Linked DNA regions of Caenorhabditis elegans. The protein of the gene in region 1 purifies or fractionates together with the protein of each later gene. This does not show direct contact. Each region holds a gene or a part of one and is shown on either strand. Other genes may lie near its edges.

Evidence for each region.
Region 2: the proteins of T04A11.5 (region 1) and zig-3 fractionate together in Caenorhabditis elegans (co-fractionation; one large-scale study listed by BioGRID). This does not show direct contact.

Annotation. Positions count from the first base shown.
Region 1 is NC_003282.8:12,484,383-12,488,526, reverse strand, and holds T04A11.5 (Phenazine biosynthesis-like domain-containing protein), read left to right. Parts: upstream 1-1,989; coding exon 1,990-2,079; intron 2,080-2,195; coding exon 2,196-2,549; intron 2,550-2,602; coding exon 2,603-2,656; intron 2,657-3,118; coding exon 3,119-3,463; intron 3,464-3,509; coding exon 3,510-3,617; downstream 3,618-4,144. Other genes in the region: sru-26 (Serpentine Receptor, class U), read right to left, coding at 43-252, 709-948; T04A11.4 (Phenazine biosynthesis-like domain-containing protein), read left to right, coding at 3,948-4,037.
Region 2 is NC_003284.9:7,928,920-7,932,348, forward strand, and holds zig-3 (Zwei Ig domain protein zig-3), read left to right. Parts: upstream 1-1,818; 5' UTR 1,819-1,877; coding exon 1,878-1,940; intron 1,941-1,986; coding exon 1,987-2,359; intron 2,360-2,414; coding exon 2,415-2,734; 3' UTR 2,735-2,889; downstream 2,890-3,429. UniProt on the Caenorhabditis elegans protein: Required for maintaining axon position of PVQ and PVP neurons postembryonically in the ventral nerve cord (VNC) by preventing axons drifting into the opposite side of the VNC that could occur during body growth and movement.

The DNA.
Region 1 (4,144 bases):
GAAAATTGGGATAATTATGGTGTCTAGCTCAAATTGACTCACTTTCTTGTGATTCTTGGGTGAAATTATCAAAATGAGACGCATGATAGACACAAGAAATGGGAAAATCATCGTGGAGTAATTGATATGATATGTGAAAATAGTTAGAATTGTTATGAAACGATTAGGCTCGATACTGGCACACCAACTCGTGAGCAAACCAGATGTTGGTAGACGGAGGTATAAGAAATCGGCGAGAAAAAATAGAAGACACTGGAAATTGAATGACATTCAAGCTGGCCAAAAATGGTTAAAATCTCCAGTCTACAAGGCGAAGTAGGCCTACCTTGTACCTACACGCGTACCTACGGCATTAAGGTAGGCATGCATGTAGGCATGAAAAGTCATGAATAGTTTTCTAAAGTTTTCTTGAAAATAATCGGTCATATTTCTTTTTTTTTAAAGAAAGTTTAGGTTTTTCAAAAATAGTTTGTGTCGTTGAATTTTGAGAATAAGAAGAACTAAATTGAATAAGAAGAACTAAATTGAATCAAATTTGTGTTCTCTGAGAAAATTTGAAGTTCTCGAAGAATTATTTGTCTGAGAAAATCCCATCACAAAATTGAGATCATTCGAATTTCTCTCCATAAAAGAATGTTGCAAGGCATATATAGGCCGCCTCGTAGGCAGGTAGGCTTGAAAATATGTCAACTTTTCCAACCAACTCACCATGCACTGAGAAATACTAATTGCACTCAACAAGTATACATTGTTATTTCTATCTCTAAAGGCATAATACAATTTGACCAATATCCGCAAAATAATGATAATTGTTATGGGAATATAAAGTATTGGAACTAATAGAAAAAGCATAGGAAGTGTGTAAAATGAGAATTCAAAGTTAATAAAAGTCGAATTTCCGTGAATTCCAACATATGAAGAATTTAAAACCGGCGGAAGTGTGAACATTTTTAGGAGACAGGGAAGTTCACAAATGAAAGCCGTGCCGTCGCGAAAAATATATTAATCACAGGTTTAGAAAAGCACATTTTAGAGAAGAAATTGCTCTCGAGTTGCACCTAATATGAGATAATATCCTATAAATAGGTTTAGAGAGCAAGCTAGAAAACCAGATAATTGGCACTTTTTTGATCAAGAAAGATTCGGAGGTTTTTGGCTACTGAAAATGTTATTTGAAAGTTTTTATTCGAGTTTAAAGGTGAGAACTACAATTTGAAAACAAAATATGAAAGGTGGAGTAGCAACAACTATCAAATATTAAGAGAAAACTTTAAAAAGTTTTCTGGATAACCTTGAAATGTTGAAAATTGACCAATTGGTTTTTTGTTAATTGTAAAAACTCTAAACACTTTTGAATTTCTGAAAATGTTATTAAAAGTTGTGGTAATTATCAAATTTACGAGAACATTTTGACGTATTGATGTGGAAGTTTTGTATTTATTTCAAAATAAATACAACACTTCCACAACCTAATACGCCAAAATGTTCTCGTAAATTTGACAATTACCAAAACTTTGAATAAAATTTTCAGAAATTCAAAAATGTTTAGTATTCACGTATTCACCGAGTTGTATTATTTTTGACTATCGGCAAATGCCAAGTTTTCAAATTATCTATAATTTTAAATTTTCGGCCGAATTATAAAATTGCCAAAACTTTGAATTGCCGTCCACCCTGATATGCATATTTTTCATAATATTTCAATCAACTGGTTTCAACTCTATGTTTTTGACCCGATATCACCTTAGAAAGGTTTATTAGATTTTTCTGATAAGAAGTATCCTTTTCCGATTCAGACGAAGAGATAGAGAAACGTGACTGTTGTGTTGTCATCTTTCTTCTCCTTATATATATTTTTTGTTTTTTGTTCATCGGTACAACTAGTTAAATGTCAACATCTTGAAGCACTTTATTTTTTTCAAGTTTTCAAATTCACTACACAACTGCCAAACTTCTATAATTACTTCATTTCTAAATTTTAATTTTCAGATGTCGAGAAAATTTCCGTCTTTCATAGTTGATGCATTTACAACTAAGAGTTTTGCAGGAAATCCTGCAGCAGTTTGTCTTATTCCAGAGGTAATTAGTAATAATTTGGACCATAGTATATGGTTTGTATTTAATTAAAAATAATTGATTTATAATTTCCAATGATGACACTCCATCTTTAATCATTGTTTTAGTTTTATTTCCAGGTTTTTAAAGACCAAGAGTATTTGAAAATCGCTGCCGAATTCAATCTCTCCGAGACAGCATTTCCAGTTCCAATTGGTTCAACTGACTTCAAGACTTGCTCTCAGTTTTCCCTACGCTGGTTTACTCCAAAAACTGAAGTTCCGTTGTGTGGTCACGCAACTCTTGCAACGTCACACGTTCTGTTCAATGAAGTTGGAAATGTGAATAAGGAGATTAAATTCGATACCCAATCCGGAGTTTTGATTGCAAAAAGAGATGAAAAAGGAAATGTGGAGATGAATTTTCCCGAATACGATTTGGCGTCAGTGAAGTTCAATGATACCCCAAATCCATTGCAGGGCATTTTTTCGGAGGTAATATTTTATAAAATATTTCAAAAGTCTTTTCGAGAAAATTGAAATTTCAGTTCGAAGCACCATCATTCCTGTTTGAAGTTATCAAGTGCGTTGTTCCAACTGAGGTGAATTTTTGTAGTTTTATTGGGTATGTGTGGTAGTGCCTGCCTACCTGCTTAAGTGCCTTCCTAGCTAGAACTCCGGTGTTTGGTGTTCATGCAATGTGGTAGGCACGAGGCAGGCAGGCAGGCCTTATTCCGATAATTTTTCGTGAAAAGTATTTTATTCTGAAAATCTGAACATTTACGACAACAAACCTGGAAAATTCCTCCTGAAAACCAGGAAATTGACGTGTGTAAATCTGAAATTTGTGTCTGAAAATCTGATAACATACGTCAAAATTTTTGTAAATCTATACCTGAAAGCATGAAACTTTTCGTCTAAAATAAATTCAAGTATGAAAATTATTGTCCAACCGTCTTAAAATTTATTACTGAAAAACTGGAATTTTACATCTGAAAATCCAAAAAATGCACGTTTAAAAATCGTAATCCAGTCCCTTCTTTTTCAATCAGCTCATATTTCAGATGATTATCGAATCAGTGGTGTACTCTTCAAAATCTCGCAAACTAATCGTCATTGTGGATCCAGAAACCACCAAATTTGAACTTGAAGCCGTTCGCATTGATTGCTCAAAAATGCTCGAGATTCACGATGGAAGTTTTGTAAGGGGCCTTGCCATTTCTCTTCGTCCATCAAATCCAATGGCTCAAGGATTTGTGGATTCTTCTGATGAACCATATGACTATGCATGCCGTTATTTTGCTCCGTGGGTTGGAATCGATGAGGATCCAGCAACTGGATCTGCGCAATGTGTTATGGGACCGTTCTGGTCGAAGATGCTCGGGAAGAACGAGTTGTATGCTTTTCAGGTAATTATCATTATGGAGCTTTTTCAATGATAATTTTGATTTGTAGGCTTTTCCAACTCGAGGAGCTCAATTCAGGATTCGTCTTCAAGATGACCGTGTGATTTTGAACGGACCTTCTGTCACAGTGCTCCGGGGAGAGCTTGCGTTGAACTAATTTTCAATATGAATTTGAAGTAAAATTCCCAAGAACTCTACTCCACCCTCAAAGTTTTTGATTTTTGATGACTATCAATAAATTTATCTTCTCATTTCACATTTCTCCCATTTCCAAAGTACTTTCAAACAAATTTCCAAACGTATAAAGAATCTGCAACAACACAATCACAACCACTACAACCCCTTCTTTTCATTTTCTTTTCACATGTTTTCCACCTTTACAAGACCAACTGTTGACCCCATGTCCTTCATCTTTTTCCTTTTTTCACTTCTTTTGGCAAACGACGTTTATTTGGAATTTCATTAGCCATTCGACACGTTGTCACAGATGACTGAACACTATCCTTCGTACATTGTCGATGCTTTTGCAAAGAAGAGATTTTCTGGAAATCCAGCTGCGGTTTGTCTTATACCACAGGTAGGTCCCAAAAGTTTTATTTTTCTAATATAGATGGTGAGTATGAAATATGTATTTAAAATAACTTTTACATTGTAATGGATTAAAAAGATAGAATTTTGAAAGCA
Region 2 (3,429 bases), on another chromosome or scaffold:
CGAGAAGTTGCCAAAATTTGAGATTTTAGCTAAAAATAGGCCATTTTTTCCAAAACTTCGAGCGGTCATAACTTTTTTTTGAAAAATTTTCAGAACGTCTTATTACGAAATGTATGATTTAGACTGTTTCAATGCATGTTTTTGGCGAGAAATGGTCAATTTTACAAAGCTATTGGATTTTCGAAAATTAGTTTTGCATCTCTACTCAATTAAAAGTTAGAAAATCTATTCATTTTGCATTTTTAAAATTCCTGCTGATACCAAAAATATTTCGATGAGTATATTCCAATTTGACCAATTCTATCTTTTCCCACTGTCTCAAAAAACATATTTTCTTTTTCTCAAACGTGATAAACAGGTTTAATTTGAAATTCAGAAAATGAACAAAATAATTTTTCGAGTAAAATCTTTACATAGAGTTACATAGAACACTCCCTATTAATAGATGTGAAAGATTAATAAATTATATTCGAAGAGTTCTTATACGATTTTTGGAATGCCCTCTCTAAATTCACCAAATTGAACTATTTGGATAACAAGTTGATCGGTTAATCAGCTGAAAAACGGAAAGAAAAGCATAAGACAAATAGTTCATAATTTATTTTTAGTCAAATATTTTATTAGTTGTTTTATAAATATCAGCTGGTTAGCTATGCTAATCAAGGGAAGCGGCGGATCAACGAATAAAAACGGTACATTCATCTCATTCAATAATGAAAATAAAATGAAATAAATAAAGATAAAGAACATTCTTTTTGAAAGTCGCATATTTTTATAATGAAATGCCTTTTCATTGATGTTGAGTGCTTTTGAAACCAGAGAAAAAATTTGGATAAAGATTTATTTTCTAAGAAGTCTTGGATTTATTTCATGATTTTTTAAGAAATCGCTAAACCTTTTGAGTTCCAAGTCCCAAGTATCAAAATTAAAAATTGTCTTGATTTTAACATTTTATTTTAACTTGATTAACTTATTTGGCATTTATGGCTTTGGAATGTGAACTTTTGTCATTTTTATGGGGAGCTCAAAACACATAAATAATTTTTTACTGTAAAACCTTTCGTTGTTTGAAGGAAAACTGACGGTTCTTTATTTTTTAACCCAATGGGGCTCAAATCAACTGATTTTATAATGAGAGTTTTCAAAGTTTTTAAAAAATGTTTTATACAGGTTCAAAAATTTTGAAAAATGCAAATGTTATCTTTACTTACGTAATTTGGTAGTTTATCTCACACTATTTTCTTGGTTAAAGAACATTTAAGGCCGATAGGTAACTAAGTTTGGTCGTTTTTGGTTACCCATCTGCGTGTAACGTTTTTTTATTCAACATAATAACGACATGGGAAGAACGGCAAAAAATGCATTACAGGTTGATATTCAAAGCTAATCTCCAATCGCAGCGACACTCAATGGTTAGCGAAATTGGAGATTTAAGCTGTTTAGAATTTTTAGGTAGTCTCATTACGAAATTTGTGTATTCGCGCACATTTTGAGTAGATACACTCCAAAAACCTGGAACTGATACTCCTCCTTTAATTTTTTGTCAAATAACCACATTCTCCATATTTAACAATTATATTTTACACTTCCTGGCTACTTCCAGTACAAGAACCATACCAACATGTTCGGTCGTTATCAATCGGATTTGTGAAGTCTCTCAAAAACGTTCTCTTTCACTTCATAATCAGCTTCCCACCTTTCGAAACTCCGCCTTCAATTCGCCAGTAAAAGCAGAACATTCCGTTGGGCGGGCAAAACAAATACGCTCCTCCCACATTATCGAGATACTATAAAAGAGATACCGAAGTGGAATTCTTTACGAACTAGGTTCCAATTCGAAAACTACTTTTGTTAAACTATATTTTGCATTTGGAAAAATGCTGCTCATCTGCATATCTGTCCTTGCTGCAATTTCAGCTCATCCATTGTCATCAGGAGAGGTAAGTCAAAACCATCTGATTAATTAAAAATCATTCACTTTTCCAGATGCGTGCAGCAGTCTCAAATTTGGTTCGAGAAATCGACTCCACTCATCTAACTACTAAACCATCCCTGAAAATAATTGAAGGTCTTGAAGACAACACAGTTAGCACTGGCGAGAGCGTAACTCTTCGATGTGACGTACTGTCCACACCGACTGGAGTCATTTACTGGGAAAAGGATGGCCAACGAATCCAGGGAGATAAAGAGCTTAATGTTTTTGAAAAAGTATTGAACGCTATGGGTCCTACAGTCGAGTCAGGTATCATCACCAGTAGCTACCAAATCCCATGCGCAAATCTCCATCATATTGGATCCTATAAGTGTGTAGCCACAAATGGGCACGATACCGTCGAAAGCTCTGCAAAAATCTCAGTTGGTTAGTTGAATATAATTTCTATTAAAACATTCTTAACTTAAAAATTTTCTTGCAGAAGGACAAACTGTTAAGTGTAAATCAACGCGCCGCTCAGCCCCAGTAATCACAATGTCTACTGAATCCCGATTTGAACTTCAAGACAATGCAGCTACTCTTATCTGCCGTGCTGATCGTAGAGCCAATTGGAATTGGATGTTCGAAGACAAGAAAATAGATTTTGACAGCGGCCGATATGAACTACTTCCATCCGGTGATCTTCTCATCCGGAAAATCCAGTGGTCAGACATGGGTTCATACTTTTGCATTGCTCATAACAAGTATGGAGAGTCCCGTGGTGAAACCTTCTTGTATCCCACCAAAAAACATATTGCTTAATTTATTTTGTTGGTATCCTTAAATTTATTTTTACATCCTGTTGAATTGTACCCCTAACTTATCTAGTCGTTTTTCCTTACAAACCCGTGAACAGATCTCACTTACAACACTTGATTCTATGCATATTTTGTTCCCTAATAAAAGTTTTCATTTTGATTTAAAAAAAAAAACAATTATTTTGTTGGAACATTGAACAAAGCACAAACAATACAAACAAATCATATCGTATGTTTTTTCCTAATCTAAGACTATTCACTGTTGGTTATCATAATTCATTTTGCCATCCACAGCAGAGAAAATGGTAAACAATATGAATCTTTCTAGTCTGGCGTTTGTATAACCAAGGAATAATTTTTTATTTAAAGTTGTTTCCCTGTGAAAAACCCAGAATGAAACATAATCAAGTTTCAACGAGCATCTTGATTATTTCCATAGTGATTTGAAAAAAGCACGGATTAAGTGAATAAGCCTCAGTATTCGTCAATTTTCTCAAATTCTCACTCAAACTGGATAGCAAAATGTACCATTTATACAGGTGACGGTGTAATTTGTGTTTACGTCACTAGTACACAAATTTCACCTGGTTCTGTTTATTTAATTGTGAGCTTTTCAATAATCCACATAACCTTTTTCCCTACTCTAAGAGTATAGTATTCGTGTATGGTTGTGAAAACGTAAAAATAAATAAACTAGAG